Linked DNA regions of Tribolium castaneum. The protein of the gene in region 3 binds, or shares a complex with, the protein of the main gene of each other region. Links are inferred from orthologs where the notes say so. Each region holds a gene or a part of one and is shown on either strand. Other genes may lie near its edges.

The links.
Region 1: the proteins of SF2 (region 3) and Tnpo-SR are in contact, whole or in part, in a crystal structure (PDB 4C0O), measured with the Homo sapiens proteins. The link is inferred for Tribolium castaneum from reciprocal best matches to the Homo sapiens genes SRSF1 and TNPO3. Residues at the interface, in NP_008855.1 of Homo sapiens: Ser116, Arg117, Arg118, Ser133, Trp134, Gln135, Lys138, Asp139, Arg142, Glu143, Gly145, Asp146, Cys148, Tyr149, Ala150, Asp151, Val152, Tyr153, Arg154, Val172, Arg173, Asp176, Asn177, Arg181, His183, Tyr189, Ile190, Arg191, Arg198, Pro200; in NP_036602.1 of Homo sapiens: His155, Arg157, Arg160, Thr167, Tyr254, Ile256, Glu257, Glu304, Glu340, Ile341, Phe343, Asn344, Tyr347, Arg348, Glu351, His352, Lys355, Thr356, Arg620, Asn656, Glu660, Arg661, Arg664, Arg667, Phe668, Arg671, Ser698, Cys699, Tyr702, Ile706.
Region 2: SF2 (region 3) and proliferation-associated protein 2G4 share a complex: the UniProt entries of both Homo sapiens proteins name them as parts of the ribonucleoprotein complex. The link is inferred for Tribolium castaneum from reciprocal best matches to the Homo sapiens genes SRSF1 and PA2G4.

What each region holds. Positions count from the first base shown.
Region 1 is NC_087402.1:357,215-365,656, forward strand, and holds Tnpo-SR (transportin-3), read right to left. Parts: upstream 5,363-8,442; 5' UTR 5,237-5,362; coding exon 5,120-5,236; intron 5,066-5,119; coding exon 4,710-5,065; intron 4,514-4,709; coding exon 3,596-4,513; intron 3,547-3,595; coding exon 3,014-3,546; intron 2,930-3,013; coding exon 2,104-2,929; intron 2,047-2,103; coding exon 1,986-2,046; 3' UTR 1,936-1,985; downstream 1-1,935. Other genes in the region: slit homolog 1 protein, read left to right, coding at 1-32; cytochrome b-c1 complex subunit 8, read right to left, coding at 138-232, 289-442; asp (abnormal spindle-like microcephaly-associated protein homolog), read left to right, coding at 5,550-5,561, 5,617-5,796, 5,843-6,046, 6,212-8,442. UniProt on the Homo sapiens protein: Importin, which transports target proteins into the nucleus. Specifically mediates the nuclear import of splicing factor serine/arginine (SR) proteins, such as RBM4, SFRS1 and SFRS2, by recognizing phosphorylated SR domains.
Region 2 is NC_087400.1:1,390,327-1,398,554, reverse strand, and holds proliferation-associated protein 2G4, read right to left. Parts: upstream 5,194-8,228; 5' UTR 5,125-5,193; coding exon 5,040-5,124; intron 4,905-5,039; coding exon 4,670-4,904; intron 3,007-4,669; coding exon 2,396-3,006; intron 2,336-2,395; coding exon 2,106-2,335; 3' UTR 1,893-2,105; downstream 1-1,892. Other genes in the region: Moca-cyp (peptidyl-prolyl cis-trans isomerase G), read left to right, coding at 1-58, 1,669-1,783; Uba3 (nedd8-activating enzyme E1 catalytic subunit), read right to left, coding at 5,683-6,488, 7,536-8,055. UniProt on the Homo sapiens protein: May play a role in a ERBB3-regulated signal transduction pathway. Seems be involved in growth regulation. Acts a corepressor of the androgen receptor (AR) and is regulated by the ERBB3 ligand neuregulin-1/heregulin (HRG).
Region 3 is NC_087401.1:8,586,123-8,594,255, reverse strand, and holds the start of SF2 (serine/arginine-rich splicing factor 1A), read left to right. Parts: upstream 1-3,333; 5' UTR 3,334-3,422; coding exon 3,423-3,589; intron 3,590-3,635; coding exon 3,636-3,817; intron 3,818-7,549; coding exon 7,550-7,722; intron 7,723-7,771; coding exon 7,772-7,930; 3' UTR 7,931-8,133. UniProt on the Homo sapiens protein: Plays a role in preventing exon skipping, ensuring the accuracy of splicing and regulating alternative splicing.

The DNA.
Region 1 (8,442 bases), on a different chromosome or scaffold from region 3:
AAAATGCGCTGCTTTACGACTTGAGGGTTTAAGTCACTTTTGTATAAATATTTTTTTTATTTTTCTAACTGTTTTAAGTTATGTAAATAAATGATGGGTTTCTAATAGTTGCTATTTATTGACTAAATTTTTACAAATTATTGATCATTTTCGTAATCAGCTGGGTTTTTTCGCATCAGTCGGTGGTGTTCTTTTTCAACTTGGTCGTAGATCACGTAACCCATAAGAAGGGCTGGAAATAACAATTACTCAATTAACTTACACATTTTTTAATTCAAATTCACTTACGAGGTACAACGTATAAGATCTCGTCCTTGATGCGTCTCAAACTGTTTGGAACTCCGTGTGAGAGAATGCCAGAGAAGGCCTTAAGTTCAAATGGTGATAGTCGGTACGTGATGATTCCGCGCAGTTTATATAATTGACCAAAACCGTGCCCCATCTGCAAATGAGGTTACATTACATAATCACCTGTCTAAGACACAGTTAATTAATCGATCGTTAAAATGGTAAAAAAGGGAGGAAAAATTGATAAATTATGTGAAAATATATTCTTACTTTATTAATTTGAGTTGGATCAAGTTGGCTTAATTACTGCTTGATTTAACCTCGAACTGTCACTTTGACAACTGACAGCAAAACTGTCAATTGTGAATTGTCACCCGTGTGTGAAAACAACAAATCAGAAAATCTGGAATTTCTTCGAGTCGATAAATATGTGGTTAAAGACGGTTTAAAAAAATGTAAACTAAATATAAAAGCGAAACCATGTTTCTGAAAGACCCTTGCGGTGTTTGTTGCATTTTAATAACTTATGTTTCGGTTTTTTACGCCGATTATGTTATAGTTAAATGGGTGGTGTTGCAATCGATGGTTAATAGGTAAATTGGGTAAAGTTAAGTTGCAATGGTCCAGTGATTTGTTTCAGTTTATGGGGTTCCTTCAATGTGGTCATGTTCAATACTGTAATTTTATTCCTGTGTATGGCCCACTTTCGGGCTGTTTTCACAGACCCTGGAACTTTGCCTTTGTTTCCCAGTAAATTGGACTTTTCCGATATGCATTCCTCTGAGTCTGGTATTACATGGCAAAGATTTAGGCCTCCTTTTAACAAAAATAATTCTAGGCTGTGATTATGTTGATTGGACGGTTTGCACACGTTGCGAAATTTACAGGCCCCCAAGGGCGCATCATTGCCGCATTTGCAGGCGGTGTATTCGAAGAATGGACCATCATTGTCCTTGGATTAATAATTGTGTGGGCGAACGCAACCAAAAGTATTTCCTTCAGTTTCTTATTTATGTCGGAGTATTATCTGTTTATGCAATAGTATTGGTCAGTGTTTCGTGGATAACGGAGTGTAAAGACTGCAGTCAGGAAATTCCAATCAAGCAGGCCAGAATGTACGAATCAACCTTAGATAATTTTTTCGTTGATCGCTTTTTATTAATCATTTAAAATAGAGTGGTCAACAAAAAAATGTCCAAACAGTATTCGGCTTCATTAACCAATCAATTTTTTTGTAGAATGCATTCAGTAGTTCTGCTACTGATAAGCGCCCTGTTTGGCATGTTCGTTTCTGCGATTCTTGTGGACCAAATCCAAGCCATTGTAACAGACGAGACGGCTGTAGAACACGTACAAAACCAAGGTCCTTATCGCCCCCATAAACCAAAAATGACACTTCTGAGCGATGTTTTTGGACGCGAGCACCCTCTTTTGTGGCTTTTGCCTTGTTCTTCCACCAAGCGAAAACTCGATACTCCTTTAATTAATCATCATGTTTAATTGCCTCGATTTTATATTGAATTGAACTTTTCTAGTCTTAATTTAGGGTGAAGTTATAAGGAACAATCTTTTACATGACGTATTATTTTGCTTTTTATTTTTATTAAAATATGGAAAACAGGAGCAAGGACTATGATTTACAAACCCTGAAAGTACATACGTATATTATCTCAAAATAGCACTATAATCATACAGTTTTAACGGTAAAACCTAGTCAAATCTTTCAGAGCGTGTGTGACTGACTTTGACGTGTCTGACCTGAAAAAATAAAGAAAAATTAATATTTCCCCCTTGATATTGCTATTTTCCAGTCACCTAGTCATTGAAGCATGTATATCGTTCAATTGTTGAGGAGTGGCTGACATGATCCCCCCGTTACTTTCCTTCGGTAACGTGTCTAAACCATTGGCTAACCATTTACTTGTCGCTTCTCTGTCAAATTCTAACAATTCGACAAAAACATCCGCAACCTCACTCAACATATACGAATGTAAATAAAAAACACAAGCATGAAGCAAATTCGTCACTAACTGTTGTCCATATTCATTTAAAATACTCGTAACGAGCACTTTCCTTTGTTCGAAATCAATTTGATTTTTACCACACTTTCCGGTATTAATCAGATCATAAAAAAACTTCATTACCGACGTATTCGCTTCTTTATGATCCAAAGTACACGCCATCAAACTACACTGTAGTATATGTACAAGTGCACCGCATTGTAAAATCGGTACTGGCGCTCTCTGCATTAATCTCGAACATAATCGAAAGAAATCATCCACGGTATCGGGATGATTCCTCAATCCGTTTTCTTCCTGAAGTAGTTGAAATGTGGGTTCGATGAAAGCTTGCAACATATCCAACAGGCCTTGGACGCAATTTGGATCTGTTGCGTATTCATCAACGAGTATACTTCCAACGTAGAGAAAACACGAATGTTTATAGGTTGCGTAAATTCGAACTATTTGACTGACTAAACTTTGCAAAAGCTCACAGACTTGTTGACTCACACAACGCAACATAAAACGAACGGAACGGCAACACCGCTCCATTATTCTCAGGTCGTTTTGGTACTTGTCGAACGTGCGCGAAAGGACAGGCCATACCTCCAAAATCACAGGCTTGCAAGGGTGCACCTGGCCTGAAAATTGCAACCAAAAATATTTCTATTTCGCCGAATAACAAAAAAATGGAAAAAAAATTATTCCTAGCTCTAAAAATTTACCTTCATAAAGCCTAACGTTGACATTCCGCAAAACCGACGACAATCTATCCAACCACAAAACCGGATCACTTTTAGTGCCCCTAACTGGCACCACATCCTGTTCTATAAGCTGACACAACGGATTCAATTGCATTGAACACAATTTTCGCATCGCATCGGTTAAATCACAATGTGGCATACAACCAACAATTGCAGCAACACCTTTAACTAATCCAATGACTGCATTATTCGTAATTGCAAACGTATCAACTTGTTGCAACAATTGTAACAAAACTGGGACATGTCGTGGCATGTGATCGTTGCAAGTTGCACAGATACTTTGTAAGGAAATTGCAGCAGCTGCACCAACACCGGCCTGTGGCAAACAACAGACCAAAAAATTCAAAATTGGATCAAGTGTATTTGGATGTTTTTCGATCCATTCGCATAATTCCCCCAATAACATGACTGAGGTGTATTTTACGGCGATATGTGTGGTTTCGGGGAGGGAAAGTATGGCTTCGACTACTTTCGGGACGACTTCGTTTTCACTCCTGCAAAAAAATCGAGTCAAAATCCGAACAAAAAGTTTTAAATACTTACGGCAAGACATTTTTGGCCACCGCTTGCATGATGAACAAGGCGGCTTCGCTGGAATCCCACGTAACACCTGGTGCTTGCAAATTGACAAACATTTGTCTAAAACAACTGCTACTTCCAACGATAAAAACAACGTCTTTGACCAAATCGGAGACTTTTAATCGAAAGTCTTTAAAATCGTCACCATCTTCGAGCAAGCCTTCATGATCCGGTTCCATTTGACAGTGTCTACATAACGCTGTGATTAATCTTTCAACGTACGGTCGAAACAATTCGGTCAATTCTTTACTATTCTTCTGATACAATTCCTCACTCAGGACGTACCATAAATTAAAGGTGATTTCGGCAACTTCGTATTCGTGATGTCCCACACAAATCAAAACTAAATCAAGCACTTTAATCGCATAATGAAACGATTTCGTGCTACAACTATTGATAATCTTCTCGAGAAACGATTCGGCTAGTTCGGTAAAAATCCGACAGTAATTAATCGACTTCTCTTGGTCTTCGTTTGCCACCGACAGGTGATAAACAATTTCCAAATTAATCACGTTATTGAACAAATATGTTTCGAGGATTTGTTGATTGTTGTTGTCTTCGAGGCATTGTAATAACGTGCAAATGCAATCAGAGGCGGCATCGTGTAACGAACCGGCCACACTTTGAGGTTTGTCGCCTTCTGGTTTATAGTTTAGAATTGAGAAAGCACGCGATATCACCACATTATTGGCAATATCATTTAGAGTGATTGCTCCAACTGACACCCAAGATGTGAAACAACGTAGAATTTTTACGTTGATTTGGACGTTTTCTTGCCAATTATTGCCGTAAGTGTTGGAACAATGAGTGAGGAAGTCGTTGACGGTGCCAGCGCACGATTTCAGGTCCTCCAGCATCACAATACGACGGTTTTCGCCCAACCTAAGTTAAATAAATAGAGGAAAATCCATTCACGAAAAAGTGCTGAGAAAATTCGGTTTTTGACCAAACATCAAGTCAATAAACTATTTCATATAATGAGTGACATAATATGTAATTTACAACATAGGAAAATAATAATTATTTTATTATGGAATACCAATGAGTTGTTAACCAACTTTTTTTAAATAAAACTTACCTAACAGACCGGCTTTCGAGTTCTTCCGGCAGAACGGTCAAAATCTCCAGCAAGGGCCACATATTAGTGGTTGTAAACCTATTAATCAAATCTAGAGCCGCCTGCTGCCATGTGGGCATCTGTAGAATCAAATCGGCCAAAGCTAGACACAACTGAGTCACAATAACAGTATTAGTGTCCTCATTAATTTGACTAATGTGCTCCAAAAGCGAATTTCGCAAAGATTCATGAGCTTCTGTTGGCAATTCGTGAAACGAGTGATGAATCTTCGTCCTCATTGTTTGTGCCCCAAAATAACATGATTCCAGATCACGTTTGTGGTGGAGCAGTTCGTCGGCGATTGTCCACGCATGGACCTAAAAAAACAGCTTACAATTTAGACAAAATAAAAAATTTACGGAAAAACCTACGGATTTTTGGAGCTCTCCGAGCCATTGCGAGGCTCTTTCTTTCTCGGTTGTGTTCGGATTGTTGTACAGAGCGGACACGGCCGCGTACACCAAGTTCAAACTCGGCTTAGAATCCATTTCTAAACGCAAATTGCCCCAATATCACATCATAAATGAGCAAAATTGTAAAAATACATTAAATACATTCGTAAACTGTCCACAAACGTCAAAAACAACAGCCAGAAAATGGATGTTACTAAATAACCATGATTGCCAACTTCCAATCCCGGCAACCAACAGAACACGTCCATTTCTATTGGTCGAGCGAAAGTTGACGGTTTATCATTTGAATCAAAAAACTCATCTCAAGTACAGAGTTTTTAAGAAACTGTTTTATCGCCTCCAACATTGTTGTGTGTTATTTTAATGTTGATAATTTTAACCTGTGACTATGTTTTTGCAAGTAAGTTGTGTTTTATCATTTCTGAGTGGACGTCAGTTACTTAACCAAACTTTAGTTTTCGCCCCCTGTTAGACAACAATCCAAAAAACCAAAGCCGGAACTCGAGCCAGATAATGCCGTTTTATCACTGGCCCCTTTCACCCCAAATCCGAAAATTTGTTTCGAAAATGTTAAAATTGGTCAAACGGCCACTCAAAATCTGGTCATTAAAAATCCGACAGGACATGCAAAAGAAGTAGGTTTGTTCGTTTCTAAGGGCAGGATTTGAGCCATTTTTTCAGCTGATTGCGAGAATTACAATTCCGGAAGAACTTCATTTTAGTTTGAGTTGGGGTGGCTGTAGGATAGATGCCCAGAGTGAGGAAACACTTGAACTTGTTTGGACCCCCACCTGTGAAGGGGCTTGGAGGTTCAATTTGTGTGTTACTGATGATGTAGGGACGTGCCGAAACGTTCCCATCGTTCTTAAAGCAGCCACTTTGACCGTAAGTAAAGATACAGTGTGATCATTTGTTTTTATGATTAGAGTAGGCTTTGATTGTTTTTGTTGAATGGCAGTGCTGATTGTCATAACACCTCCATGTTTTATTATTTGTATAGCACATTAAAGAAATTAATTTTCTAAACTATCAATATTTTTTGTGGTTTAGAAAAGCAAGAAAGGGACCCAGAAACGTTTCCCTCGCTTTGTGGCCAAGAAAAACACTTCACCGGTCCAAAACTTTAAGCGAAAATCGCCACAAAAGCGAGCAATCCTCCCAAACATTACAAACATGCCAACATTTACCGTAAATCCTCCAGAAAGTGAATTCAACGGTAAAGAAAATTTCAATTTATCTCCGAAAATTGAAACACGACGAGATACTTATACCGTAAATCAAAACATCCCCGAGATTTTTGACGACAGTTTAGAAAACATAACGGTGGTAAAATCACCAAGCGTTTCATTTGAACGTCGATTACAATCAACGTCGTTTTTATTAACACCATCGAATCAAATCGATTTCAATCCAGAACGTTGCTCAACCGACGAAAAATCGATCGATAACACTGATAATTTTCTTCTAACATGCAAACCTAAAACTTTATTCAACGACACAACTTTCGAAATTGTAAAAAACCTGAGTAGCGAAACGTATGTTAAAAACCTAAGCTCGGAAACGTACACCAAATCGGACATTTCCGATAATTCACCGTCAAGTTTTTCGAAAAAATGCCGCCTTGATAGTCTTGTCGGCAACGGAGTGAAAATGACCATTGAGGCAGATTTGTGGTCATGCCATCACACAAATCTAGTCACAATTCGGGAAGAAACCGAACCGAAAGCCACACCCTTGAAGCGTAAAAGCGACGTTACGTTTCAAGTGACATCACCGAAACGCCCAAATCTGGGATTCCCCCAAGAATGGGCCAAACAACGCAATATTGTTGTTTTCGAACCGGAAGTTGTAACGTGGTTAGAGGGTCAAGAGGAGAATTTCAAAAAGTGGCTCAATGCTGTTTTAACACCACCTTTGGATCTTGATTCAAATGCGCAAAGTCATCCCTTAGACGTAGCCAAATTGTGGCGAAGTTGTATGGAGAAAGAAATCGAAGTGGCACCGACCAGGGAAATTGTCTCGCAACGGTTTCACAACAATGCTAAACTAAACGCGTTAAGGAGAGCCGCTAAGGCGTTGTACCAAACAAACGAAATTCAAAACGTTTTGATTAAAGTTGGCGCGATTATTGATTGTGGCAAACTTGCGTTGCGGAAAGACCGTGATGTACATCTAGATTTGCGTTTGCAGGCCGATGTTATGCAAGTGATTTTGAGTTATAATCCTCTGTGGTTGCGCATTGGTTTGGAGACGATTTACGGACGGGTGATTCCCCTAAATTCGAATTCGGATGTTAGGGGCTTGACTCGCTTCCTTTGGGAGCGTTTTATGCGGGACCCGGTTTTATTAAAGAAACACCGTTCCGTCCATTCTGAGAAATACAAATCGGAGATCAAACAATTCATTTTGAAGAAATTCCTGGCGTTGGTTTTTTTCCTAGACCGGGCCAAAAGCAAGAAATTGATAGCACATGATCCGTGTTTGTTTTGTAAAAACGCACCAATTAAAGAGAGCCAAACGGCTCTTACGACTTTTGCCCGTGATACGGTTTCGTCAATGGGCGATATTACCAAATATTTGAAACACTTTCAATACACTTTGGTACATAAGCAGAGCTATTTGAATGAGTTTGATTACGCTGTTAAGTGTCTCGGGGTTGATTTACGTGACGGTGTTAGACTAACACGAGTCATGGAAATTATTCTATTGCAAAATAATTTGAGTGAAAAACTGCGTGTTCCAACAGTCTCACGATTGCAAAAAATCCACAACATGAAAATCGTGTTTGAGGCTTTGCAACGTTCGGGTTTCGAAATTCTCTACGACATTACACCAAGTGACATAGTCAACGGTCACAAAGAGAAAACTCTATCGTTTTTGTGGCAAATTATTCACAAATTGCAAACGCCCCTAATGGCTAAAAGTGTGACATTGATAACAAACTGGTGGCGAAGCGACACAATTGTGAAAAAACGAAACGAATTGAAATTAATTCGTGAAACAAAAAATGCAGCAGCTATCACAATCCAACGTTACGTTCGTATGTTTTTGGCCAAACGTCGCTACGAAAAATTACAAAATATGCTAAAGTTTTTCAAAGCTGAAAAACAGGAGAGAGCTGTTTTAATCATTCAGAGACGTTGGCGGGCAACTTTAGCTATGCGAAACCAAAGAACACAATACCAAGTTTTACGTGAGGCTACGATTTTGATTCAGAGACGATTTCGGGCCAAATTATTACACAAAAGTGTTGTTTTTGTACAAAGACTGTGGCGAGCGAA
Region 2 (8,228 bases), on a different chromosome or scaffold from region 3:
AGAGGAGTTATAGTTCCAGTTCGAGCAGTTATAGCGACAGTTCAAGCGATTCTTCGAGGTAAACTTTTTTTCGAGTCAAAAACTAAAATGTTTAGAGAAAAACGAGTGACACATTCTCGGGTCCGTTTTTTGAAAGAATAATTTTGGTCAAAACCGCATCTTCGACTTATAAACAAAAGTTTATTTTTTATATCTTCCTTATTATAAATGATACACATTTGAAACACAGACATTATACAGGCACTTTTTTACAGAGAATTTAATAATGTTATCAGCAATTTTTTTTAATCATTCGTTTAGCTGTAATAACAAAGTTGTATTTTTTTAAATGAGAATCATAGTTGGCTATGACATTTTCGAAAAGCTTATTTTTTTCTGAACTCAAAACAATATAAATATAGTTTGATGTTTTTATATATTTTTGATAAAAATATATTTAAAATATTTTAAAGTAGTTGGCCATGGAAAAATTATTTCACATGAAAGGTGTGAATAATCTAGAAATTTTGTGAACGGTTATTAAAGTAAAAAATGTGAAATTATAAAAATAAGTTAAAGTTATTTTCAATTGAACAAATATACGAGCGTCGCAGATTTTAATTACATAAAAAATGTGCAGAAAATTGCAAACGATGTGTCACGACCACTTGATGCCACTTTTTTATGATTTAGTGCAATGGAGGTGACGTTGATAATGTTGTGTATTTTTTTACCGCAGATGGAATTTGATTTTGGTGTTTGGATTGACATTTTTTTGTAAAATAAAATTTTATTGATACGCAATCATACAATTAATAAGATTTTTCTTCTTCCGACATTTCGTGTTTAAAATTGGAAAATAGAATGACAACGTAAGCTTGCCATTTTAAATATAAAAATAAATAATTTTTATTAATTGCAAAAATTTGATCTAATAAAAATTTATTATGCTGTTTTTGAATTAATTAGGGTTAAAAAAATCATTAAATTATAAGTACTTGTTGGGTAATACAATTTTCATAGTTTTAATTAAAAATCCAAAATGTTTTCATGGCCTACTATAAAGAAAAAGCGAAATGTTTAAAATTAAAAATGTTTTAAAATTAATGTATTACACAAATAGACATATAAAATCAGAAAAAAATAATCTTTTCGAAAATGTCACAGCCAACTATGATTCCTATTTAAAAAAATACAACTTTATGTTATTACAGTTAAACGAATGGTTGAAAAAAATCGCTGATAACATTATTAAATTCTCTGAAAAAAAGTGCCTGTATAATGTCTTCGTTTCAAATGGATATCTTTTATAATAAGGAAGATATGATTTTTTTAAGATTTCGTTAAAATGTCAACTTTTGTTAATAAGTCGAAAACAAAAGACGATAGCGAGATGCGGTTTTGACCAAAATTATTTTCTCAAAAAAGGGACCATAGAATGTGTCACTCGTTTTTCTCAAAACCTCTTAATTTCGGAGTATTTGGACATACAAACAGTTACACATACAAAATATTTTAAATTAAAAAAAAGGCATCTAACTGGGTCAAAAATCAAAAACATTTTGCTAATTATTTGTTTTTAATGCAGAAACGTCATTATTTTGCAAAAATTATCACGAATAAGCCAAAAAATCTTAGTAGAATTTATTCGCAAATATATTTTCGGAACACCTTTTTTCCTGTTTTTAGGCAGTCGAAGAGACGCCGCAGGTCCCGATCGCGTTCCCGCAGGAAGGACAAGAGGCGAAGCAGTTCAAGAGGACGATCGAAACGTCGAGGCTACACTCCAAAAAGGAAAAGATAATGTTCTATCATCATTTTTTAATTTGTCTTTTTTCTTCGATTAGGATTATCAATTACTGAAAAGGTGTAAACATTTTTAATTACACGTGCAGTTGAAATTAAAGCCCAACTACCAAACACTATATTTATTCATTCATCATATTGCTGTCACAGCAATATAAAATCTATTAAAGTTAACAATTTCAACACTTGGGGTCAGTTTTATTGAAGAAAAAATCTCGTCATGAAAATTTAAAAAAGAAATGAAATACAAAACTTAGATAATAAAATAATACAAAGTGCCGAGTGTGAGGAGAAAGCTTGTATAAAACTAGTATTTGTTTTTAAGCTACAGCTTCGACTTCCATTGGTTGGTCCACTTCACCTTCCGTCTTCCTTTTTTTCTTTTTGGCAGCTTTAGGGTTAGCAGAACTCTTGAGTATCGACTGGACTTGTGGATCGCTGATGGAGTGCTCCGATTTGTACAGTTCGGGGTCGAAAGGCAGCCCTGTGATTTTGTGGGGGCCGTTCGGCATCAACAACACCGTGAACTTGAAATGGGCCACAAATTCGCCTGAAAATGGAAAAAAATCAACGCTAGATAAAAAATTCCATAACAGGGGAAGAAACATACCCGGTTTTTCGTAAAGCACTTGGAACGGTTCTATTAACTTATTTTTGACGCACTCCACCACCCCCATTTTGGCCTTGGTCTCGTCCTGAAAACTCCTCAAGTTGAAGGGCATATTCCCGTGCTTGGTGCGCACTTCGCTGTAAAACATCCTCGAAGCTTTGAGTTTTAACTGATAAGTTTCGTCGGTTTTTTTGTAAATCGAGACACGATTATCGCCCTCTCTGCCCACGCCTTCGCCGGTGCTGATCAGCACGTCCATGGCATACACCTCATGCTTGTCCAGTTCGAACTTTTCGTGCTCTTTCTTCTGCGCTTCGTTCGGGTTTTGAATGATGGTTTTCTCGCCGTCGATTTTGAACTGTTTCAGTTGGTGGCTTAACATGCCCTCGACTGGCTTACATTTGAACGATTCGGCCACTCTTTGAACGGCGTCAGTGATTGTGTATGTTTCGTTGCCGGGCTTTAGTAGTCTTAGAGCGGCTTCGGAAGCATAATGTGCTGCGAGCATTACGTCGGCTTTTCGATCGGTGGCCTTGTGCTCGCTTGAGACACCTAGGATTATCGTGTGGGCCACCACGGCGATGAAACCGTCGATATGCGCGCCCAAATCACTAAAAAAAAGGGGCAAGATAGCACATTAAAAGGCATAACTATTTTTTTTTATAATAATATTACATCAGATCGTATATTTGCAATCACTGATTTCAGTTGGATCAATTGGAGTTAAATAAATCATCATGGAGTTAATTTTTGGAAGCAGGACACAACCAGAGTTCTAATCTTAAAAAAATCATATCTTTTTTATTATAAAAGATACACATTTGAAACACAGACATTATACACAAGGCACTTTTTTTCAGAGAATCTAATAATGTTATCAGCGATTTTTTTCAACCATTCGTTTAACTGTAATAACATAAAGTTGTATTTTTTTAAATTGGAATCATAGTTGGCTGTGAAATTTTCGAAAAACTTATTTTTTTCTGATTTGATATGTCTATTTGTGTAATACATTTATTTTGAATATTTAAGAAAAAACAAAACATTTCGCCTTTTTTATAGTAGGCCATGAAAAAATTTTGGATTTTAAATTAAAACTATGAAAATTGTATTACCCAACAAGTATTTATAATTTAATGATTTTTTAAACGCTAATTAATTCAAAAACAGCCAATAAATTTTTATTATATCAAATTTTTGCAATTAATAAAAATTATTTGTTATTATATTTAAAATGGCAAGCTTACGTTGTCATTCTATTTTCCAATTTTAAACATGAAATGTCGGAAGAAGAAAAATCTTATTAATTGTATGATTGCGTATCAATAAAATTTTATTTTACAAAAAAATGTCAATCCAAACACCAAAATCAAATTCCATCTGCGGTAAAAAAATACACAACATTATCAACGTCACCTCCATTGCACTAAATCATAAAAAAAGTGTCATCTAGTGGTAGTGAGACATCGTTTGCAATTTTCTGCACCTTTTTTATGTAATTAAAATCTGCGACGCTCGTATGTTTGTTCAATTGAAAATAACTTTAACTTATTTTTATAATTTCACATTTTTTACTTTAATAACCGTTCACAAAATTTCTAGATTATTCACACCTTTTATGTGAAATAATTTTTCCATGGCCAACTACTTTCAAATATTTTAAATATATTTTTATCAAAAATATATAAAAATATCAAACTATATTTATATTGTTTTGAGTTCAGAAAAAAATAGGCTTTTCGAAAATGTCATAGCCAACTATGATTCTCATTTTAAAAAAATACAACTTTGTAATTAAGAAAGATTACTGATAACATTATTAAATTCTCTGTAAAAAAGTAATAATGTCTTTGTTTCAAATGTGTATCTTTCACAACAAGGAAGATATGAATTTTTTAATATTTCACTAAAATGTCAACTTTTGTTTATAAGTCGAAAACAAAAGACGATAGCAACACAGTTTTGACCAAAATTATTTTCTCAAAGAACGGACCCGAAAATATGTCACTCGTTTTTCTCTAAACCTAACATCTAACACAATGTGTTAAAAATAAAACATTCAAATTTGCCGCCAATTTTAGTTCATCATACAACAAAAGCTCGGCGCCAGGATCGAACATTTGACAAGAAAATAAAAATAACGTGTTACTTGATTCTCTAAACTTGAATAAGACTGTATGGTACTGTTCCGCAATTTTTGGCGCAAAAACCATTTAATTTAATTTTAACCCTTAAGCTGGTTGTGTCCCATTAGAGATTTTTTTTTTCACTTACACTTTGACCATATCCCCGTCCTTCAGGACATAATCAGACTCACTGGCAATGGGAGAAAAATGGCAAATACAGTTGTTGACCGAGACACACGTCGGGAAGGCAATTCCCTTCTTTAGCTCCTTCTCCTTCTTGAAAACTTTGCTCGTTTCTTCCGTGATAAGCTGGTCTCCGAACTCGCAAATCTCGCGAACTGAGCTGCCTGGCTTACATTTTTCGAGAACTTGTTTCAAAATTCCTGAAAAAAAACTAGTTATGACCGAAACGGGGGCCAACGCTTGCTGGGAGACCACATGGTTGGAGCATATGGCGCTGGGTGAATTTAGCCGAGGGTGTTTTTTTTGGGGGGCTCAAGAGCGACGTTTCAACTTACTGTTAACAATTTCTCCGGCCATTTTATACTTGGTAACGACCAAGTCTTCCGAAATTGTTTTCTCCACATTTTTCTCGTCCGCCATTTCTCGCACTACGAGAACTAGAGAGGAAACGTCATGTGGTTGCACACCTGACGCGCCAGTTTTGAATTTATACTTCCACAAAACGTTTATTGTAACTTTGACGGGGGTTAAATGACCGGGGAATCACTTATGACTACGGTGTGATGCACGATTTTGGACCAAACCGCGGAAAATTATAAAAGTGGCCACCGATCAGGGGAATTTTTTTTTGGGGTGGCCAACTTGTGTGGAGAAACTCCCGGCAAAAACTAAATTTTAATATTTATTTATTCATTCTGATGGTTTTTATCTTCGCCGAGTCATATTTTCTGAGAAAAACGCCCTACGGCCGATTACGGCGAAGCTATAATAAGGCCTAAGTCAAAATTCCGACCAAATTTTAAGCAATAATACCAAAAAAAAGATATAAAGATATAAAGTGTTTTTTTCAATATCAAAATTGATAGAGTGGTTAGAACTTAAAAAAATCAAACAATAAACATTTCAAGGGCCAAAATAACCGTTAAAATGAAACAAAACCCAGTTTGTAATTTTCTTTATTAAAAATAAATAACACAATTACTTCATCTCAACATCGCTCGTTGCAAACTTAAGTGTGAAAACCAACGTCATGGGAGACGTAGCATCTGCGACCATGATATCCATGCCATCCTTAAGCCCCAACTCAACTAAAGTCTTATTTAAATTATCCCTGGTCCTCTCCTCTATACTCTTAATCGTGGAAATGTACAAAGTCTTATTTTTCCCATCAATAACCGTGGTTAAACCTGGATTTTTCATTTGAAACATCTCATCCTCACACAGGATTTTAATCAAATCCTTCAGCTTGACTTTACTCGGATCCTCAATCGGTAGAGTTTGCGGCACTTGGGAGCAAACCACACAATTGTCCCTCCGTTCCGCTGCGTAAGTGTAAGTGTAAATCCCGTCCACGTCATTGAAAACCATGTAATTATTCAACGGTAGACAACAACTCGTTGCGATTTTAAACACTTCTGTGGCGCAAACTCCGGCAATAACGGCGTTAGTTGACGCCACTGCTGGAATAATGTGCTTTACGACGCCTTGAACAAGGCGGTAAGTCACTCCAGGGATATTGAACTGGGACGCCCTTTCCAGGGACTTTTCGTAAACCCAGCCAATGTGCTGGGAGTCGTCTCCGTCCAGGGGCGCATTAAAGGGGTTCTCCTTGGGCCACAAAACCACCTTTACGTATTCAATGCAGTGTTCAGGCAGGCGGGGTGTGTTGGCGATTGTGCACAAAGGGTAGGTGATCTGAGGGGGGTACAAGTCAAGGGTGCACTCAACACAGGCGTTGTTGCCAGGGACTATGACGCGGGCGTTGCCCTTAAAACCCTCAGTACCTGGAAATAAATTATTACTCAATTATATATATTTTTTTAAATTTTGGCGCCACAGCACAGTTCAGATGGCGCTGTAAACAAGAAGAATTATTCGGAAATAAAATTAACTAGACGCCCTCTGGTGATGACTTTTGAACTATGTCGAAGACAGTAAAGAAATTTTCGTAATGCCACATTTAACTGACATTTAATGAATTGTTCAACAATTTTGCGTGTATAGTGTTAATTACTTACAATAGAAAGAATTACTTTAAAAGTACGTGGTGGTAAATACTAGCGTTGACTTTGGTTCTGTAGTTTTTCATGGTATAAAGTGTTTATTGTTGGAACTTGAAAGTGGATAAAAAGTGAAAAATATTTAAATTTTGATTACAAAGTGTTATCAAACAGTTGTCTAATTAAAGATTATAAGTAATAAATCACAGCGAACACAAAGTTTGGCTCAAGAAACCAATAAATTAGTGAAGTGTTATGAATTTTAGATTAGAATTTTCCACTGAAAAAATCATGAAATGCTGCAGTAAATGTACAAAACTACAATAAAGATTAACAACTGCTGATACATTTAAACGTAAATTATGCCAAAAGGTAGGTTTTTCAATGTCTTTGTAATAATTTTCCAATAAAGAAAGTGAACCAAACAGTCATTCGTTATTCGTGTTTTCCTCGTCATCTCTCATTTGTCAACATAAGTTTCTTGCATCAAAGATGCAATAATCATTCCGCATAGGCAATGGAATAATTGTGAAGCCCCAAAATTCGTACAACGCTCAAAATATCCGAATAAACATTTTCCCGCCATTTATGGTTACTGTTTTCGACCTAGCTCAGTGGCGCCCCCAACGGTAATTTTATTTCCGAATAGTTTGTTAGATAAAGATAAATGTCAATAAAAATATCAAAATGGAAAAAAAACTAAAATAACACAATTTTTTGTGAGAGAAATAACTTTAGCGTCTGAAACAAGAAGGCGCTGATATTTTGAAACAGCGCCATCTGCGAAAAAAGGCGCGTTTTTTGTCTCAGCCCCCACGTTTCGGCACAAACCTCCATCCACCAATGGAATAATGGTCGAATTATCCAGCACCCCATCCTCGTAGCTCAAGAGCGACAAAATCATGCCATTAATCCACCTCCTGGCCACGATCGAGTCCAACCCGCACACCATAATGTGAAAACTCCGATAAAAACTCTCATCGTAGTCTTGTATTTTGCAAAAATGGGGCGTCACCTGGCACCCAGGCACGCGCTTGTTGATGAAAGCCGCCGCCACTTTGGCCTTGGACTGCCCAATGTCCTTCTGTCTGAACAGAAACTGGCGGTTCAAATTCGACAAGTCGATCGTGTCCATGTCGATGACGTGGATCTGCTTGAACCCCATCAAAGCCAAGTCCTTCAACAGTTCGCAGCCCAGGCCCCCGGCCCCCACGACAAGCACCTTGCAGGAGGTTACGATAAAATCCATGATTTCGGGTGACGGCTCGAACTCCGGGTGGCAAAAGGGGCCCGGACGCTCCAGCACCTTGCGCAGGTGCCCCCAGCGCTTCTGTTCTTGCGTTTCGCTCATTTTTAACCGTTTTTAAAATTGGAACTGTCAGAAAGGAAGTGACTAACGCGCCAACTCGTTTAGTTATTTCACGCAAAAAGCCAGGCACAAAGGCAGGAATTTTAATTACGTACTAATTATGCACTGCAATTGGTGCTAATTATAATTATTATTCTCCTCAATGCCATAAAATA
Region 3 (8,133 bases):
ACTAATCCATTTACTAACTGATTTGCATTTTCTAAACGACCAGAAACTAGAAAAATATTCCTAAGAAAATATTCAACAGTTGTAGTACGTCGGTATTTTATGTTATCGCCTAGAAAGCAATGAATGTAAAGAACTTTTTTCACTTTGCGTCAAAATAGCTTAAAAATCGTTAAGTTGGGTCCAAAAAAATGGTGTGCCTTTTTCGAGCATTGAAACACTTCAAATAATGGTTTCTTATACAAATAAAGAAAAGTTGAGTGATGTGTTCCTAAAATGAGTGCAGAGCACTAGTTTTACGAGCAGATAGATAATGCCAACTTTTCTTTACGTGTATAATACAACGTTTTCTCTTATAGCTACATTGAGAAATTTTTGTTAAATGTTTTCACCGATAGAATAAAAAAATCACCAAATGGTCACTTCATTCTATTGAGTAAAATAAAAAACTAAATTACCAAGTTCAATAATTCCGAAACGATAAGAGATATTTGTAGTCCCATAATAGTTTATACAGGGTATTAGGGAATGGTTTAGCAATATTTCGAATGTGAATTTGTCATGATCAGACGAGTTAAAAACTCTTATATCATTTTTCCAAAAAGTGCGTACTTTCTTCAGAAATTTTTATTAACCCACCTGTTGAAAGCCACTGTGTAGTGGTGGCGCAAGGCGTTTTGAGAATTTTTCAAAATTGTGACTAACATGTTCCTTTGTGTTGAAAGTTCGAATCCCGATCTTGGCAAAAAAAGTTTTTTTTTTCGTGGTACTTAATAACAAAACACAAATTGAAACAGAAGAATAACGTAGTGGACCAAAAAGTTAATTTACCTTTGCTGTTTTGTCAATGGTATTAATTTTGCGCCAATTTTTATAATACAATTTCAGTTGTTCTCAAAATTTGGATCTGTAATTGCAGAACAATTTTTGGGAAAACTATGCATTTTTGATTTACATAAATTTTGCTTAATCAATTTGCCTTGTCATTCTCGATCTACCTTTAAATTTTTGCTAAACCATTCCCTAACACGCTGTATAAAGTTACAATATTTTTTTTGTGTAGAATCCAATTATGCAAAAATTTATAGGATGTTCCATTTAGAAAAATAAACTCTGGTTCACCACCCTGTAAACAACACCCTAAGTATAATAACAATATTATTAATTTGTGGACTTAAGTCGATCTATCGGATAATGAAATCGGTATGACATTATTTCAAATAGCAAAAAAGTTATAGATTGATTACGAACCATTGGGTCATGTATTACTAAAAATATGCCACTGGTCTATTTTCCTTGTACTGTTGATTGCGTTTGCAATGGAAATGCAGTTAGAACTTGATTGTTCTCAGGTCGCGAAATATTAAAATAATAAAGGTTTGATTATTCAGGGTGTTTACGGTCTTGGGATTGAAACTTAAAGGGGATGATATAAGTTATAATTCACATTGTAACAGAAAATCATTCAATTTGCATTGTTTGTGAATTGTTGCTTCGACTACAACAATTGCAATTATTACCTTGTGCTTCGTTGTAAGTTCTAATCATGACAATGAATTAATTATTTCAGTAATTGTAGTCCAGGGCAGTGGCGGCTCGCCTGGGGAAATACGTGAAGTGGCATTTCACCTAAAATCTATACTTACACACAGAAATATTTAATAAATTCTAATAAACTAAATTTACAGTAAAAAGTACATTAAACACGTCATAACACATTCAATTTTTTTCCAAATTAAAATATTCCATACTTTCGCATGCGTATTTTGTTTCGTTGCCATGACAACGCCGACGACGCCGACTTGACTATAAGCGTATGTTCGGGCGTATCCAGTATCGGAGTATTGTATAGAGCTCAATTTCACCCAGTTTTCGTGTTCGCGTTGAACGTCTCTATTATGATATGACTATATTTTAATTTCTAGAAACTTCACTTTTAAAATAAATCCTATAAACAACACTGAGCCTTATTCTGTACGAAAAACTAGGAGCCGGTTTACAGAACATTTTAATTGCAATTACATTTTAATCACGATTAACTTGACATTTGTCAATGCATTTTACATTTAAATGGCAACTTAATTCGAATTAGTTTAATTCTAAATTAGATCTTAATTTCACTTTCTGTAAACCGGCTTTAAAACTGTTTTAATTGTTTTTAATTTAAGGAGCTTTAGTTGTTGGTACAACGATAATCAACAAAATTGCTAGGTTTGCTATTTTTTGAAATGTGTCAAATTTTAACAGTCCTTTAATAAAATTACAGAATAGGTCTTAGTGTGTGCAGTTTGGTAAAAACAGTTTATTTATGCGTTTGTTATGTAATTACTACTTAGTGTTGGTACAGTTTTTTGTTTTAATAAGTACTTCCACTAAAAATTTACGATATGATTCGGTAAATGATCTCTTTACCTATTCTTAGGGTTAAATTAAACGTTAGAACTATCATAACTTCACAAAAAAATGTAAAACTTTTAGCTCTTCATCTAGTTTTGAACGCCTCCACAAAACACAAATTGAACTTGCTCAAAACGATTTCGGGTTAAATTCAAATTCAAATTTTGATCAAACTAAAGTATTGCTGTTTCAGAACAATAAAAACGCCAACGTCGCATTTTCTCTCAAAATTAGCTGTTAGAGTTTATTCCAAAAATGAGTGAATTTTGGCATTAAACATACATAGGTAAACATTTACTATTGAAAAAAAAATGACCATAGGCGTCGTTATACAATGTCTGTCAAATCCACTGTTAGTATTTAAAAAATTGTGGTAATTAAGTACTGTGAAAAATAATAAACAAATTATTAATAATAATTAATAGTGATATTTCTACCTTTCTCCGTTCTCAAAATTTATTAATGTTAAAATGAGAACTAAGTAAACTTTACAGAAAAAAAATGCACGCCCATGTATTTTTATGTCACTGTCAGTTCGCCACCAGATATGGAACAACCTCTATAAATTATTCATGCACTTCAAAAAAATAATAACTAGTGTAATTTATACTTTCAATGAGAGATCTAATCATTAATAACTATTTTACAATTTTATCAATAGTATTTAAAAAAATAATTCGATAAAATGCGACGTTGGCGTTTTTATAGTTTTGAAACAGCTAATAGAGGCAAATGAAATTAATGTACAATTAAATTTTATTTTAACAGAGAAATTATTCCGGTGACCCTCAAACCCCGTACCAATACTTCGGAGTTGAATAAAATTCTTAAAAATAAAAATTCCCTGAGTGTGTTGGCAGTTATCTCATTTCTACACTCTTCTGTAAACACACTGTATTGTACTGCAACCCTCCATTCGAATTTGGCGCCACACCCCGTCCAGATGGCTCTGCCATCACAAACGCCCTCACGTCGCCATCTTTCCTTCTTGTTTATCGCCGATTTCGTCCACTTTCCAACACGAAACGATGTCCAACAGCCGCAACGACTGCCGAATCTACGTCGGGAATCTGCCCCCGGACATCCGCACCAAAGACATCCAAGACCTGTTTTACAAATTCGGCAAAGTTACATTCGTCGACTTGAAAAACCGACGGGGACCTCCTTTCGCCTTCGTCGAGTTCGAGGACCCCAGGTAAGCCCCCATGTGGCCTCGAAACCCTCTCAGTGTGCTGATTTAGGGACGCGGACGACGCCGTACATGCACGGGACGGTTACGACTACGACGGCTACCGCCTCCGGGTGGAATTCCCGAGGGGCGGCGGCCATGGCAGCTTCAGGGGTGGCCGCGGCGGCGGCGACAGGGGACGCAGCTCCAGGGGGCCACCAGCTCGCAGGTCGCAATTTAGAGTGCTTGTGACAGGTGGGTTTGTTAATTTGATTTGTGTTTTCGTTTTTTATCGCGAAAATCATTCGAAATATAATAGGAAATAAAGGTCGGAAAAGCGATTAAAAGGAAAGTCATTTAGTTTTTATTTACAGAATTTTTCGAAATTACACACAAGGGTATTTTAGCATGTGTGGCTGCCACCTACGATTTGATTTTTTAAATTGTGAGGTTGTGTTTTCATTGCATCGTTTCTTGAATCGTCAATAATTTATTATTATTATTACATTTTTGTTTTTTTTTTGTAAACTATAAGATTAGAGCGAAAATAAAAAAAGCATGAAAATACATTTAAAATTGTCTTATCTTTTCGTAAAAACATATGGGCTGTTCGTTTTTATTGTTACAACTTTTAAACAGGTGATAGCACACTCAATTTTAGGAGAAAAGTTTCCTACAAACATGTATCGAAGAATATTTCATAAGGGGTGTTCCTTTTAGTGTAATTTAATTTCCCCAATATTTCAGAAACCATGGCATATAAAAACACAAAATTTGGTACAGATAATAATCTCTGTACGTCTAATTGAATTCGAACACCAAATGTACATATTTGTAATCAGGGACGTCCCAAATTGGGGGGTGGAGGATAAAAAATACCCCAACTATTTTGGCTTTCGTTTTTTGACAATTTTAGAAACGAAGGCACATTTCTTATGGGAATTTAAGGACCACTCAGATTGAGTAATTTTTATAATATCAATCGATGCGTCTTAAAAAGCTGAACAAATCATATCATTGCGTCAAACGTGTAACTTAATTAGGAATGCCGGAAATTGCAATCGAATTGAAGATTTGTCCCATAATAAAAGCATTGGGGCGGCTTTTCGGTGAGAGCTTGTAATCCAGATTGGGGGTCAGGTATAGGGAACAGACACTTTTATGGAAATAGGGATTTAAGCTGACAAGTTATATCTCCAACAATGAAGTGTTATACTCGAAAATAAAAGTTTTTGGAAATTGTAGATTCTGAAAGTAGACACAAAATGATGTCTAGTAATATCGGTCTGAGTTTTTTTAAATCGGTACTTTTTTAGTAATAATAGAAAATTCGCGCTGTGACGTAAGCAATGTCTCGACTAATGATTCGTCAGTCTTTTGCTGCATACAATTAACGCTACGACCTACGTTTGGGTTGGTAAACGTTAAATATAAATGTCAAAACCGTGCGTTGTTGATTGTGACTGTTGTGTGCTAATATTTTGCAGGAGTTTGTGTTTTGGTAAAATGACTGCTCCTGCAGCACATCTGAAGTCGTATGTAAAACAACAGAGGCAGAAATTAAGAAAAAACGGACCACTAGAACCAAATTGAAATCTACGTCTTTTTGGCTTAGGCCGCATTTGTAAGAAAATGTCGACGTTTTGTCCGTTCTTCCTCGGGACAGGTTCTGGTCGCGAAACCTTCTGTTCATCCCTGATTTTCATGTTATTTATGGTCTGTAACATACTGTTTATTAAGAAACGGTTAGTTGTATAGAAATAACACAAGAGACCATTTTTATGGAAAAAACTATGGAATTTACTATTTTGTTATTAAATTGTCAGAAAACTAAAACCAAAATAGTTAGGCCTGATTGCTCAGTTCAAGCTGAAGCTTTCGCTTACATGAGGTCGGTTTATATTTAAACTAAGTTTAAACCGTAGTTGTGTTGTTGAGTGGAAAGTTTAGCTAAACCGCGCTGAACTTGTCACTTACGGGGTTGGTAGTTCTGAACGCTTGCGCACTTCAAGTATGAGGTTGCTTGACGAAATTTTAACAGTTCTGATTTTGAAAAGTTAAGTTAATATTTTGGTACATTGTAGGAATAATATTGTTATAATGATATTTATGCTTCCTTCTGAAAAAGAGCAATTTATCGTTTTCTGTCTTTTCTTTCAAAACACAGCAATAAACTGATTTGCACAGTTTATTTGTTGCTTTTGTGCATTTGAAGACTTGGGCGTCCTCACTTTTTAAAACTATGCTGTAATTAAAATCACATAATATTTACTTAGTATCAATAATTCTAACAACATTATTCCCCTGACTGTCGGATTTTGCTGCAGCAATTAAAAAAGTTACTGAAATAAGAATAAGTAAATTATTATCATTATACTTTTTTTTTAGTTTTTTTTTAAATATAATAATAATATATTAACTTACATGTTGTCTATTCATTACTGTCATTGTTCAAGTTTATTTGTTTAATTCAAACTGAACCGAAATTTATTTAAAAAAACTGTTTCTGTGCATCATTTTTGAATCCGGAAATTTAATAGTTCTTCATCATTATTGTTAAAAGCAATTTTTTTCCACATTTGTGAAAGTAAGTAGTATATGGGCTATATGGCGCTTCATGAGTCTGTTTTTTCTAACATTGTTGGTCTGCGTATTTTATGATTTTTTTAATTGTCATATATTTTTCGTAATTAGCAGCCTCTCTACGGGTGTCTTTTGTTGTATTAAATCTTCGAGCAATTTGGGCCCATGTTCCATTTTTTTCACCGAACGTAATCAAGTATCTTTTTTATAATTTTGAACAAAATTGACCATATTTTTTTTGCGTTTAAAATTGCTACTTCGGTTTCTTTAATTTATCTGTTAACGATTTCAATAAAATTATAAAGTTATGTATATTAATAACGTTAATATTAAAAATGTTAAGCGATAAGCCAATGCTTAAGCGGCCAACATCGACCGGTTAGTTAAACCAATACTAAGCTTTAGCTTAGTCGATATTTCGTATCTGACCACACGGTGCCCCTAGTTTGGGACACCTCTCATTAAAAATTCCTACATTTGATCCTTAAATTCGATTAGGCGTATGAAGGTTATCAATTGTACCAAATTTTGTATTTTTATCTGAAACGGTTTCTGAAATATTGAGGAAAACCTACATGTTTATAGGAAATTTATGATTAAAAATAAATGTTCTATTACCTATTATACAAATTTGTAACAATAAAAACAGAACAGCCTGCATATCGGGCAATAACTCCGGAAGTATTAGACGTAATCTTATTAAGTTTATTCAAGTCAACCTCTTCATATTCTACTATAAAAATGGCCAGCTGAATTCAAACTTGGTCGCACATCTCTCAATGATGAGTTTTGTGAAGGATGACCAAAACAGTAACCACGGATAAAAACCTCAAAAAAATGCAAATTTCGATATTGGATAATCAGCGAATGAAAGTGTATGAGGTAGCTAAGGTGATAGGGATATCTGAGAAAAGGGTGTAGTTTATTTTGCACCAAGAATTAGATACGAAAAAATAGTGTGTGAAAGGGTGTCGCAAAGGCGCTCTGGCAATGGAAAAATTGACGAATTAAAAACATGAATTATTAGAACATTCTTTATATTCGCCTGATTTGACTTCCCCAGACTTCCACAATTAAAAAAAAAATGTGATTAGGAGAAATTATCACTCGAATGAGGAGGTAATAGCGACTATAAATAAGTATTTTGCAGAACTACCAGAAAGTCACTTCAGGGATGGGATTAAAAAACTAGAAACACATTGCACTAAGTGCGTTGAACTAAATAGAGATTATACTACAAAATAAATGCATATATTTGAATTAAAAAAAAACGAAGTCTTTTAAGATGAAAAAAATCGTAACTTAAAAACTATTGGGAATGTGGTGATTTTATCGACACCAATCGATTCCCCGGATCTTTTTACATAGGCTTACATCAAAATATTTACAATTGAATTTTTGCAGGGTTGCCACCGTCGGGCTCGTGGCAGGACTTGAAGGACCACATGCGGGAGGCTGGAGACGTGTGCTTCGCGGACGCGTTCAAGGACGGTTCAGGCGTTGTGGAGTTTCTCCGATACGAAGACATGAAATATGCTATAAAGAAATTGGACGATTCGAGGTTTAGGTCACATGAGGTAAGAGTTGTTTGGTTGTTGAGGGATTTGTGTTTTAATTTGGCGTCAGGGGGAGGTTTCGTACATAAGGGTGAAGGAAGATCGTGGGGGGAGTGATAGACGGTCAGGGGGAAGGTCACGCAGTCGTTCATATTCGCCCCGTCGGAGGGGTTCCCCAACATACAGTCCGGTCAAAAGGAGTTACTCCAGAAGCCGTTCTCGCTCCTAATTTAATCTACTCTACGGACTGGCCTTTTTGTATAATGTACGTATCAAAAAAACCGGGGATTTTTTTAATTTGATTGATTTAAAAAAAATGCAAGAGAAAAAAAGCGGTTGGTAACCCTGGAATTTGTATTTGTAAATGTGGGTATTTTAATTCTTCTGACATTCCTGGAAGAATCGTTTTTTTCTCTCCTCCATTCTTGTAAT